Linked DNA regions of Drosophila melanogaster. The protein of the gene in region 2 interacts with the protein of the main gene of each other region in a pairwise test. Each region holds a gene or a part of one and is shown on either strand. Other genes may lie near its edges.

Evidence for each region. Proteins that work in one complex are often made in the same cells at the same time.
Region 1: the proteins of CG14556 (region 2) and CG15124 interact in a two-hybrid assay, tested with the Drosophila melanogaster proteins (one large-scale study listed by BioGRID).

Annotation. Positions count from the first base shown.
Region 1 is NT_033778.4:19,641,344-19,646,837, reverse strand, and holds CG15124 (uncharacterized protein), read right to left. Parts: upstream 3,892-5,494; 5' UTR 3,801-3,891; coding exon 3,225-3,800; 3' UTR 3,140-3,224; downstream 1-3,139. Other genes in the region: CG15905 (uncharacterized protein), read left to right, coding at 1-85, 174-249.
Region 2 is NT_033777.3:26,122,324-26,131,246, reverse strand, and holds CG14556 (uncharacterized protein), read right to left. Parts: upstream 4,589-8,923; 5' UTR 4,521-4,588; coding exon 3,516-4,520; 3' UTR 3,379-3,515; downstream 1-3,378. Other genes in the region: Cipc (clock interacting protein circadian), read right to left, coding at 1,633-2,243, 6,590-6,773.

The DNA of each region.
Region 1 (5,494 bases), on a different chromosome or scaffold from region 2:
CTTCGGTGCCGGCTACCAAGAAACCCGCTCGCTGCCGAAATCATCAGGTGCGAGATGCCCAGGGCAAGTGCACCGACTCGATCTAGTAAGTCTAAATGTATACAAAATGACCACTAAGCCGCTTACCAATCGTCTAACTTTTTACTATCCGTATCTCTCATTCTCTTCGATAGCAGAAAGCTGTACAGCATGCTGATGGGGATGAATTTTCCTTTTTTGGCAGCCGCAAATGCCGCAGAAAGTGCTTGATGACTTAACAGTTTTAACTACCATATAGTTTAACTCAGACATAGAGTTTAAGTGCCACTAATTGGATCTTAGCCATTGGCGTGAAATACATTGACTGAAAGCCAGTAAATTAAAGAGTTTACTCACTTTTGTTTGAACTTAATAGTGCAAGAATATTCATTAAAGTAAGACTTGTGATTTTCGTTGAGAATTTGGCAAGCAAAGGAAAGTTAAGAAGCTTATGGTGTTTTAAATTAAAAGTTTTAGCATACATTTGTTTAACGTCTGCATATTACCGTAGAAGGTATTTATAACTGATTTTTCATGCGTTCGTCATGAAAAGGCAGTTAAATTTAAATCAACTCTTAATTGAAAACAAATTTCCGTTTGACTGAAAAACCCTTTCAATGTTGACTGTCAGTGGAAATTTAAAATTGTAAAAGTTTTTACATCCCTTATTAATAGTTTTGTTATTTCTTTATTTTTTTGCAAATTGCGAACGTCAGTTGATGAATTGCGTTTAATTGGTTAATGGAGAAATGAATTGCATTCCGATTTCATATGTGCTGGCACTCGGATTTCTTTGGCCATGCTGGAGTCCCAGGCGTAAGCCAATTTTTCACCTTATATAACCAGATTTTTATTACTGCCATATGCCATATGCCAGGGCCACACATGTGCACAGGTTTTGCTTTATCAATTTGAGTTTGTAATTTCCGCATGCGCTTAAAATGCAATTGCAGCTGAAACGGCATTGTTTTACGTTAATATGTGTATCTGTGAGTGGGGGTGTGCACTACTGTGACTACGCCTGTATTTGTGTGGGGACATCTGTGTGCGAAGGCTGCTTAATTGCAACTGTTGCGTGTGCGGCAAATCTTTGGGGTCGCACTGTGCACTCGCCGTGCTCTAATTAAATTAATTGCTTAATTTAAAGTTAATTTGCCACATGTGGCAACCTCTCCTCGTTGTCCTCTCTGGCCAGACAAAGCACGCACACGTGTCCTGGATCGCTTGGTCCTGCCTGCAGACGCTCGAAATCTCTCGGATTGCCCATAAACTGGTCAGCTATATACCCGAAACAATTGCATTATTCCGATGTCGTTGTGCGTGGCTTTAATCGAGTTTAAACCGAATGCACAGCAAGGCCTATACATGCTATTTCAGTTAGCCAAGAGTGCATATCACTGTATGGGCTTTAATGTGCTCCACCTGAAAGTCATTCCATGTATATTCAGCAGATTCCACAAAGCACTAAATCATATTGCTAAGGATAATAGTGTGCTAAAATGTGAACCACTTTGGTGTTTAACGCTAATCAGGGTGAGTAAAATAATAATATAGTCAATATGTAACTTAAATTCAAGCGGTGCCTTTACCACCTAGCAAATTATACTAAGACTGGAATCATTCTCAATTAAGGTGTTTTTTTTAATTGAAATTCGTTTGCTAAATATAATTCATTGTTATCCAATCTCATACATAGATTTTCCGGACACGACGGCAACTTATGCAATTGACAAAAGCCCATCCTGGGCAACTTTGTGCCGGAATCTTTTTGGCAAAGTTGGCTCACACTAATTACCAACATTAGGCCACCTGCACAGACTAGGCACACTCAATTAGCAACTGTAAACTGCAATTTCTATGCTGGCCAAGTGAGTTTTGGCCAGAAACAGCAGCAACAGCAGCCGGTTAGTCCAAGTCTTTGGCAACTTTGTCGTTTTCGTTGTTCGCTGCATTATTTATGCCACCTCCTTGACCTTTCGCCTTGATGTCGCTGCCTGTTCGAGGAGCATAAACTACGCCGGGCCGTTAAATGCGATGGTTTGTCAAATTAAAGCGGTGCCAAGTAAGCTAGAGTAGCTGGGAGAGCTGGTAAAGCGGATGTGGAACCTCCACGAAAACGCACACAATGCAACAACTTTTCCAACCGGAAGTGAAGCAGACGCCCAGCAACTGAGGCAGCGAAAGTGAGCGCGGAATTGGATGTTCGGCTATAACGGATGCGGGGCGCCATCTTGCTGTTGTTCGCAAACATGGCGGCAAAAGCCCAGAGCCAAAAAGCCAATCCCCCCTTCTGACCAACGCACTGCCATCTATGTAGCTTTTGTGACGCAACAATTGCATTTTATTTATTGCATAACTAGCGGTGTTTATGCGTCGGAGAGTGGATAGCAACAAGACGGAAAAAGAATGGGAAACAAGTAAGAGTGGCCAGGACCTGAAATAGAACCATTCTGCCTCTCGTAAAAGCGAATCCCCTTGCATACATACATACATACCCGCAGTTCAGCATAATAATTACAATCGCTATCAGCGCCGACATTTCACGATGAAAAACTGCATTGGCACGCAACCTGTTGTTGGCTTCCTGCTCCGGTTCCCAGCTAACTGAACACTCAGAGAAAATATTAGTAACTTGCCAGCAAATGGTATTAAAAATACTACCTGAACGGGACACGTAACTCAAGACTATTCTATATAGAGTTTAAAACTCTTGGGACATTTTTTTGAGATCTTTTTGAAACCTTTAAAATTTTTTTTGCTGTGCAGCTACAGATTCAACTCCCCAGGTCCAGCTAAGCGCTGGCTAAGAGAGGAGATGCCTGAGCACACTGTCCAGGACCAGGTCCCTCCTTTAACAGGTCCTAACTATGCAAAGCCATGAAACGCAAGTGTCGCAGGGATTATTCATGGACGGGGAATGAAGATGAAGCGGCCAGCGGGCTGTCAGTGACAGGTAAACGGAGAAAAGGGAAACGGAAGGACACGAAGCAGGAAAAGTCGAGGGGGAAAAAAGATTCCTAGGGATAGGATTTAAGAGAGGAGCACATTACTTAAGGCTAATTTCATTGCTGGAAATTCAACTATTCAATCTCGGAGAGGTGTAATAAAACATTTTGTATTTGCTTTCGCGATAAATATTTATTTTCCAGAATAGTGCGATAATAATTGCATATGAGTGAAACATGTAAAGTTTAAAACAGTCCAAATTAAAAAGTCTTTTTGACGCCTTGGCCGGAACAATGGATGTTGCTTGTCTTATTCTGCCTCTGAGTCTTATGCCAATCCATGATAAAGTCTTTGTTGATCTGGGCGACCCTCTCCAAATAGGCGACACTGCCCATGTCGCTGTCCAAAGCCAGGATTTCGCAATAAAGCGAGCTCAGCTTTATATTGCAACGTTCTACGGCGTCAGACAATTCGACTTCTCTGATTTCCGTCTCGTCTAGGAAATGCAATTTAACTTTCTCCTGATTGGTCACAAAACGAGTCCCTGCACCGGGCTTTTTGATCTCCGAATGCAAATCCAGCAGATACTTCTTAAGCTCTTGCAACGCTGCCATTTTCAGAAGAAGTCTGTCCTTTATGACTTTAAGTGCCTTGCGACATTGCTCTGCAGACACTTCCTGGCGTTTGATTAATTCAGCAATAGAGACATTGGAGTTTTTAGGTTCGGACATGAAAACCTTTATACTGTAAATGGGACGGATATTGTGCAGAGTTATGTTCGGTAAGTCCTTGCAGCTGATTAAGTCTGTAAAGTCGAGCATATTGTCGTTATCCATTCTAATTGATATCAAATTTTAACTTATTTTTCTAGCGGTTTATTTTAATAATTTAAATTTATACGAAGTTTCTCAGAAAGCAATATATGCAATGACTACTTTCCAAAAAAATGCTTTGCTATGTGATCGTTTAATTTCCCTTGTTAATTTCGTATATATAACCAATTTTAAGTTTCCTTTTTTCATGTTTCGTCATCAGCAAACGATGAATTTCTATGGATTCACTTTTAAACTTTTTATCCATCGCAATTTTATTTCATTTTTATTTGCGCTTTTTGCGATTTTTATATGCACTAAAAGTCAATTTATTCACTTGACTTAATTTGATTTCAACCTTCAAATAATCCAATAGAGTTTTTGTGCAGTCGTCCTTCACGGTTGCACCTTGAAAAAGGAGTTATTTCTGTTTTGCTGAAAGGATTGTTTACTTAAATGATTGTCAATTTATAAAAAAGTAGGGATCATGATAAAATAAATAATTCGACAACGATTGTTTAAATGTATATTATCTCATACATGTTTTGATTGCATTCTGTGAACAAAAAATTGTTCCGAAAAGCTAAATTAAATTACCTGTTCATCCTTGTATAATATTACTCATACGCAGTGGATGCCCGGGCCATTGATTTAAATTCAAGAAACTCACGAGCAACAGAAGTTCGAGAGAAGCTGCCGCAATCTCAACTGCCTCATTGTTAACCCGCACTCAATTTCGATTCCCAATATGCTCCACATAACCGAGAGTAGGGCTCGATTCTCTATGCCGGTAATCGTACGTGTGGAAAAGACGTCAGCACTGATTGCTGCATAAATGATTGAGCATGTGTGGTTGTGTGCGCCTGTCTTTCAATCCACATCGATGTGTGCGCTTGTGTAGGGCTGGAATGACTTGCCACAGACGAATCCCACTCACTATCAGCATTCCTCCATGCAACAGGACCTGCATCCCAGCGAAAAGGATGGGGTTGCATTATATGAAAATTGATGGGAAATGCCAAAATATTTAAATCTAATTTTGTGCCAGGCTGACAGGCAGCCAGCATTCGCCGAAGCCGCAGGCATTGCATTTGATTTTGATTCCCGTCCAGTTTTGCCAGCGTATTTGGCGACTTTTGCCCTGGCGAGCATTTAAATATTCAATACGATTATATTTTTAAACACGTAGCCTGGGGAAAAAAAGCCCTGACTGAACGACGGTGAAGAGTCAAATGGAAAAGGAAACTTTATTCAAAAGAAAAAATAAGAGAATATTCCTTGATGAAATAGGATTTTTTCTTTTGGAGTCGATTTTCATTTAACCCGATCAGATTTATTTTCATTTTAAATTGCAGTGAATATAGTTCTTTATGGTGCTAAAGATAATTTTTTATGCACGCTCAAAGTCCTTTAAGAAAAATGTTAATCCCAAGCAAATGAAAAATGAAATGACTTCAAAATTACTTGTCATTTTTGTTACATCAATGAGTGTGGCGAGTAAACAAAACTAAGCAATTTATATTATGAGTGTTAATAAAATATTTATAATATTTTATAAAATCTATGGTTATATTTTAAATAATATGTATCATATATATAAAAGGAAGCCTTAAGCTTTCCAGCCATATTAGTGGGAAACGTGTCCACCATTCACGGTCAACCATTTCCTTACGTTTGCTTCCTGACGCGCTTGAACAGAACTTAAAATAGAATTTAAA
Region 2 (8,923 bases):
TGAGCCGAGTGCTTTGAGTGTCAAGAGTGCGGTTAAAAATAAAATTTAAGAGCCGAGTTGAGACTTGGTCGACGTGCAGACAAGGGTGTACCACCATCGTCATCAAAATCCAAGCCACAAATGACACTCAAAAGGTCTTAGCCAGGCTAAAGAGGGCCGACTTAATTGAATGATCTTGAAACAATTGCTGAATAATTTTATGTCTATTGAGTGGATATGCATTATAACCAACAATTGATAGGGAGTTCCGAAAATGTGTAATCTAGATTTTGTTTTACCTAAGTGCTTCTACATCATTTTATGTCATATTAAACCTTGTCATTTTAAAATGTTTGAATAAACTTTTTAAATATTTCCCACCACTTATTCAGCGTTTTTCAGAACATCCATACCTTCGTGACAAACTCGATGACAGACTCCATGTCAAATCTGTGCAGCCGAGATGGTCTTTGAACGCTTTGATTGGGTGTTATTGACACGACCAAAGTACACACAGCCATGACTTGTTTACTTTATGGTCGGGCTGCGTGTGAGCCAAGAAACCCCAAAAAGAAATAATGTGAAATATGTTTAATTGGTCACTAATTTTATTGATGAATTCTTTTGTTATGAGTTGGATGATTTGTTCCTTTAGGTAGGAGGAATATGCCAGAGAGGTTTATTAAAAGATTTAGAATTGGAAAGATTTGCTTTTAGTTGGTATTTTGGTTTTGCTTTGATTTGTGTTGCTTTGTAGCGTTTTGATAGTTTCGATATACTTAGGCATATTCATTGAAATATATCAGTTAGTTTAATAATACCGAAAAAAATTTACGTATTTTTCTTTAAACCAATTGCTTTGCATATCAATTAATTCTCACTATATCTATTTGTTGTATAAAGCGAAAAGCGTAGTAGGGTTCCATTGATTATGCTGGGGTTATCTAGATATATGTATTAGATAGATTTATTATAAATTAATTCTTGAGTGTAGAGACTGTAAAACATAAAATTTCTTAACGACTACAGATACACTTTTGGACTTTTTGGATTCGTATAAATATTTTCTTTTTTTTTGTAAATGTTAGCATAGCGATTTCTTCATTAAACCTTGATGAATATGTTTGTATATTTAATCAGTACGAATTTTTCAAAACGAAGCCCATTGAAATTTGGATTTCTGGACGTGTATAATGTATGTATTGTGGACAAATTTGAAAATACGTTTAAAAAAGGAATCTATTCGATTATGGTAATAATAAATTAAAGGTATTAAATTAATAAAAATTTTTTATGCATATCGCATATAAAAGCCAAAAATTGTAACAAGGAATTTCAAAAATATAGGCAGCGAAGCATTTACAACTTAATACATTACGTGTATTCATGATATTCGGATTTTACATATATTTTCCATGTAATTTACACGCTCAGCCCAGAAGCTGGCAATATTTCTTGGATGTTGCCTAAAATGTTGCCGCAACATGCCGAGCAATGCGAATAAATACGTCAAATCTTTAAGCGACAGAATACAAATGCTCTGGGCGAATACATAAAAAATCAAATACAATTCGCTATGACTTAAAATTTGTTTTCAAATAAAACTCTTATCACGTCCAGAAATGGGGCCTGTTTTGACTTTTCCAGATCAATTTAGTGGCGCAGCAGCATGTTGCTGACCTTGGCCTCTGCCTTTGGCGACATTTTGTCACGGAATTGGCGATTTTCCGGGTTGGCCAGCACCGAGGCAATGAACTCCGAGGTCTCCAGCTGCAGTTGGGCCAATCGCTTTTGCAGCAGCTTGTTGCGCTGCACCAGCTTGATAGTCTTGATGGCAATGGACAACAGGCCTTCGCTATTCTGGTGGTACATGTGCTGCTCCTTTATGGGATCCTGGCTGTACTCGTACCCACTGTCGCCATCGTGGTCGTCCTCTATCTGGAGCGGCACCTCTCGATCACAGTTTTTGGCCCTGGCCGATCGGTTCTGCTTGCTACTATATCCGCTAGCCGTCGTCGGCTGTAATACTGTCTTGATGTTGTCGCTGCTGGAATGTGGCTGTTGCTGCAGTCCCTGGATCCTGGCATCCGAGTAGCGGTCGTCGTCCAGCTGCATCCTCTGCTCGGAGTCCATCTCCACCTCCGTTTCCACGCCGCTGCTCGTGTCCGTGGAGAAGGAGGACACGCGGGCAAGGATGTGAGGCATCCTGCGCTGTAATCGCGCCGGTCGACGGCGGCTCATCGAGTTCATCGAACCTTTGGCCACTGCAAACACAAAAAGAGGAACAAAGAAACTTAGTTAAGTAGTGAACAAAGAAAAAGCTTGAAAGCTGTACAGTGAATGAAAATCATGTCTAATTTTTGTAAAACAATTAATAATATAGCTAATAATTAACTTTAATTAATTAATCATTTGAGTGTGTAATTCGCAGCTCAAAGCTCGTGAGCGAACTCAGGCAATTTAATAACATGACCTCGTTTTTATACATTGTCTACAAATTGTTGCACGTAAGCGAAATACAATGATTTTAACCCATTTAATGAAGTTTAAAATTAAACTCGTTTCCTGATTTAGAAAAAAAAAAACTAAAAGCACAGCGATTTTCCGAGCCCACGGTGCAGTTGTGTGGTCAAGTGCTTAGCTAATCAGTCGATGTCTACAACATTGTCTGTGTGCATGTGTCTCTGTGTGGGTATCTGGTATGTAAATGTGGTCATCGCGTGTGGGCAAAAAACGTGACCAGCACCAGGGTTAAGCGTTCCGGCGACGACAACGCTTTTTGCACCAATTAGCAGTCGCAACGCTCATTGCAAACATCAGCTGTTGAAAGTCACGAAAAATGAAACACAACCAAAAATATATAAAGCTAAATGTGCCTTACATATAGAAAATGAAATGTAGGTCATACAAACAAAAATATTTCTGCAATTAAAAAATGTAATGAACAAAGAATATATTATAATTTTCATTAGCTGGCTCTACACAATTCATTTGGAATAAGCATGTACACATAAAGTTACAATTCTCTAATGAATATGTATACCTCATATCTGTATGTAAGCGCATAATTCCTGCACACAACGATTGGAAATAGACTGTGTCTATGGTCAGGGTCATGACGCATCTCCTAGAAGTTTACGCTGCACATGGCACTGCACCCGAGGAATCGCTAAAATTGGAACGAAGTCGTTGTCAGGTTGGCCAAATAGAGCTTACGTGATAACGACACCTTGCCCCAGTGCAGCGAAACGTGAGATTGGCTCCGTGAAGGTAGCAGCCAACTAATGACGCCCTCGTGAAAGGTGAAAGGAAATGAGAGAAAGTCGATGACGTATTGTGCGAAGCGGGCTAACACATCATCAGGGACTTCCTGCGCCAGAAACATTTTACGTCCATTTTACGTAATTTATTTTTATTGTTTTTAATACGAAGACCGATTTATATATTTTTATTATTAGTAATTTTTGGTCGAAATAATGGTGCTAATATGAAATATTTCCCTTAACAATAAATAAAGCTATTTTAATGATCAAATTCTAATTGGCGCTGTCTTCAAGTTTCATTTGTGACTTCCGGAACTCATCGGATAGTCTAACCGTCACAGTCAAGGATGATAGAAACTCTTCTGGATCATCAAGAAAATTCGAATGCCGTGATTCGAAAACAGCCATATTCCGATCCAGTTCCTTGTGCAATTCACTCATTAGATTCACAAGATCCTTGACCTCGCCATTGAAATCAGCGATTTCGCGCTTTAGACGACTTTTGGAAAGGCAAGCTGCATTTTGTTTAAGGAATCGTGTGGTGTGAGCGTGGTCTAGTTTTTTTGCATCCGCTTTGGACATCTTGGCATTGACAAGGTAATTGTATCGCTCCTGGCACAACTTCAGTTCCTTGGAAACTTCGCTGGACCAAGCTACATACTTAACGGCTTCAGAATTTAAATCTATAAGATTGCCTTCCATGCAGCGAATCCTTTCGCGCATTTGGTGGATGATTTCGCGGAGTTTCCTATACCTGCAGATCAGTTCGTCTATTTGCAATTGAATGCGATTGTGGGCCTGACGAAGACTCCTGGCTTCCAGCAATTCATTGCCGCACAAAGGTTGGTTATTCGGACAAATGGCTACAGACTTTTCCTTAATCTTAATGTCGATTCCTTGGTTTTTCCGCTGTTTGCACTTTACTTGAGCACCGGCTTCTATTTCTATTTCAGCAGTTTCTTCGCTAATTTCTTCGCTGCACTTCTTAACTTGACGCTTCCTAATCGCTATTTGCATAAGCTCAATCTGTCGAATCAGGCAGTCAATATCGTGTGCCATTTTCACTGGTCGATCATCAGACTGCTCTGAACGATCGAGAATATCCATTTCTTCCTCCTCACCTCCATCATATGAGAAACTGACCTTCTCATCGACGTCGAAGATTTCTAAAACACTTTTTCCACATTTCGAAGTTCGGGATATGAGATCCATTTCGTTTAATGGCATCTTTGCACATTTAGCAATTTCCCCCAAACTTTTAACGTTTTCAAGTTCCATGACTAAGAAAGAACTCTGTTCCTGTTTTGTACTTTAATTTTCATGCGAGTGAAATCAAAAATCTCCTACTACTATGGTTGACAGTTAGTAACTTCATTTGAATTAAAATGGGTTTCTCGTAAAAAACTAACTAATGAAACTAATCGAGTTTTTCGCTTGCGCCTTGGGCTTGGAATAAAAAATTGCAGTTGCTCAACAGAAATTTAAGTTATCTAAAAGATACTTCAATATTAAGAACAAACTATTTACTTAACCCATTTTAAAACCACACTGATAGTGTGTATCTAACATTGGGCTGTATCTAACTTCTATTCACACACTTTAAAAGTACTGGAGTTCTCTTGCCTCGTCATCGCCGCGCCATTGCACGTGCCTCGCTTCGTTCTCTGTGAATTAGTCACCGGTGATGCTAAAATGGAAATAAAATGTTAAATACCTTCAGTGATGGCAGAGGGCGAGGGCATTGGCCAACATTCCAACCCTCCGGCTGCCACGCCCCTTTCGAACGCCGCCTCCCCAGGGAAGGCTGACGAGTTTGGGGGGTTTTGAATTTGTAGCGTCATGAGGCTTGCACGTGGCCTCGTCACACCCATTTTTATTTAAGGCTTGTGTCGGTGTATTTCTTTCAGTTTATTTTTATGTGTTGCTGCAAATTAGCAGGCAGCAACGAGCACAAATAAAAAGGCAGCAACAACAGTGGTGCTTTCAATGAATTCACTTTGGAAATGGCACCAGCAGCAAAGAGAAAAAAAATAGCAAACTTGGCTAAAAGCAAGCGAAGTAAATGTGCAAAACATGTAAATAAAGCTCCGGCAAAAGTGGCACAGCAGCAATAACAACACTGGAGGTTATGACACACACTTATGTGGAAGCCCCGCAGGCCGACGCCCCTGGCTACGTGTGCTTGTGAAATATTTCTTGGAAAATATCTAAGAAAATGTTCGGGCAATTGCACTTGGCTAATGAGTAATCAGTGGGCATCATTTGACTGGGATGTGTAAAATATTCTAAAGACTCTGCAAGTATCTTTTAAATTTCTTTCTAATTGTTGCTCTAAATTTGAGCAATGATCTCCAGAACGCGGTTTGTTGTCTGTTTAATCTCGAATTAATCTTAATAATAATCCATATATTTTAAATCGACTTGATCTGAAAATTTCTATTTTTAGATACTTGATAAACTGTCTTGCCTTCTCGCCTGCTACTCGATACCCATTGCATCCCACTGAGCCCATATCCATTTCGGTGGCAGTCATGCGGCATTAGATCGCTTATATAAATGTGTCAGCCAGATTTGCGAGCCGAGTCTGTCTTACCCAACAGCCAATGCCGGCGGAAGAGCAGCTGGAGCCAATTGCTGACGCAAATTGTTGTGGCATAACACCAAACTCGCGTGCCTTCCATGGAGCAACATTGGCAGTATTAGCATCAATGAAACACCGGAGACCAACACGTGAAGAACCCGATGCGAACCCAATTGTGAACCCATCGCAAAACGCCCATCGCCCATCGCCCATGGCACGTGCATTTGAGCATTCCAGTTCTCTAGTCGAGCCACACATATGCATGGTTATATGGCAATGAGGAAGTGGGAAACGAGGACAGACCTCCGAGAACGGAGGTGGGTGGCCGAGTTTACATAAATTAATTAAACATGACCGAGTAACGTGAGCAGCTCGGCAACTGGCAACTGGGAAATGGACTTGTAACAGTCACAACACCAACGACATCAGCAAATCAGCAGGGGATTCTGAATATAAAGGGTATACCAAAAAAAAAAAATAAAGTAAAACAGATAAGAGACAAGGCGGATATTGCAATGAATATGTAAGGCTATGTTACGTATACGCCGCGTGCGCCCACCGCAAGCTATTGGCACTGAACAAAATTGACTTAAGCTTCTATATATGATAAATTATAAATGAGAGATAGATTTAATTGCGCTTAAATTAATTAAAATTTGAATGTAATACAGTCGTGTGAAACTAATAAAATAAGAATATTAAACCTAACGCGAACTATTGTATTTTCGCTACTACATTTTACTGAGTAATCTCAGTGTTTACTCACCATGGTTGAGCACCGAACTAGCTTGTGTGGCGGCAGCTGCAGATGTGGATCCCACGGACAAGGACGAGGACGATGATGCGGTGGATGCGGTTGCGGATGCTGATGAAATGGCGGCTGTGGCCACGCCATGATGTCGCCGCGTTTCGCGCAGCTGCTTTTTCTCCGAGCATATGGTGGGCGCCATCTTCTTGAGTCTTCTTTTATTTGGCAGCGTGTATTCACACTGAAAGCAAATGAAAGTAGAAGCACAAATTAATTAGCCGCCGCGTTGATTAATTGATAAAACGTTTTAGTGCGTAATTAAGCTGCCGATCTGCACGCGCCGACCAGTAAACAAATTAAAATTGAGTATTCGAATGCAGAGAAACGAATTCCTTTGGGTTCGTTTAACTTTGAGCAATCTGAAAATTATCTGCTGCAGTGCAGTGCGATACTTAAAAGATCTTGTGTTTATTGAGCAAAGGCAGGATATGACGTCGTCATAAATTCGTTTATACTTCGGGGTCGATAAGTACTGGAACCGAAAACTGCCTGGCACCATTATGATTAAATTTTAACAATGAGTGCGTAGGGAATTCCAAATGATAAGGAAAAGGCACCGTCTTACTGAGAATCCGCTGAAGATATATGAATCTTTTAAATTGTACATCTTCCTTGCGTTTCTGTTAATCACCATGAATTGTTTATTTAATCCTCGCTAAATCCAGTTCATTGTTTTCAGCCAGATCAGATTCACTAATACATTAAAACTACATAAATCATTCGAGCCAAACAAAGGTTCAAAGCTCAAGTCAACGTCGTTTCCCTTTCTCAAGTTGACATTTTGAAGCAGTCTGGATATCGAAGCGGAATTTCAGACGAAGCACCCGCCAGCTAAAGCTCATTAGGTGGGCTCAAAATCCTAACTAAAGACCAGCCATCGGCAAAGGTAAACAAACTCACTTGAAGTGGATTTGCAGGGAAGGACGGGTCGGAATATTGATGGACGGGCATTTCGGCGGGCAGGCAAATTTGCTCAAGTGCCGGGAGATGAGTGGAGATGAGCCCCGCCTGTCGGCAGTCAAATTCAAATTGAAAAACGCCCCAAAAACGAGCGGCTGTTGGCGGCACGTGTATCTCTTGAGTGTAATTACATTTGGTAAAAGCGCTCGCGACGATGATGAAATGTTTGTGGCCCTTGATGGCATTTTACCAACCTGTCCCCAAGCCCATTTGCCCTTGTCCGCAATGTAAAATACTTGTGGGCGGCTAAGACGATATCCAGACCCCCTTCCCCTGCCCACCTTCTACGCCACTGACTGTCGGATTCAGGTCGATGTCAATGCGCCAATATGCGCTGAAATTGCTTTTCATTATTTATGCCTTATCCGTCATCCGATAGTTAAAGTCTTAGATGGCTGATCTGCGACTAGGCGTTTGCTCAGTCCACTTAGAGAAAAAGTCGAATCTAAAATATAATTGAAATTTCATTCCGAATTTAAATCTCTTAAATTTGCGCCTGGAAATATAAAACTTCGAAATATTTGGATACGCGTTATTTTATAACATTTCTAATTTATTATCTAACTATCTCTTGCTATATTGAAGATATATATTATGTTAAATAAAAAAGTTGTTATTAGTAAACGCATGCATATTATTATAAATAAATTAATAAGCAGGATTGGTATGCTAAATTTATTTTCTCGGTGCCCATTTGTCCCTTAAGCGGAGCCCGGAAAATGCCTGTAACAAAAGACCAAAATGTGCGTAACAAATACTAAGCCTCAACGAATTGCCCCAGTGGCAAATTTAATGCGGCGCGTGCGGGCCTGAAACGAAAAACAGGGAGGCAGAATCGTAAGGAGGTACCAGGGAAAAAGGACTTCTTCCTGTGGGAAACGCCATGAGCCAGGAAAATGTACAGTGCTTAAAGCATAGAAAAGATTTAAGGCTTAAAGGGAGATTGTGCATAAATTTCAGACACGTTTCACCAGAGACACCTGTAGCTCTGCCACCTGCAAGCTGGAGGTCAAGTCAATCAAGCAACTTTGATGAGATTTCCCGCTGCGTGCCTACAAATTAGCCAATAATTGTTCAACATAACACGCCACAAAAAAACGCCAGGAGAACCAAAAGCAAAAATAAATAAATAAATAAATAAATAAATAAATAAAAAACACACGCACAGTTTGTCAGCTGTCAAAGCAAGAAGTGAAGACAAAACAATGGAATCTGCTTATGCCAATGACTTTTCACACGCCACCAGAACGGAAGGGAAATTCGATTTTGTCTTTTATTTTTTTTTTTTTTAGAGGGGTATCTCTTTGTTCCTTTATGTTTGGGAAATTGTCG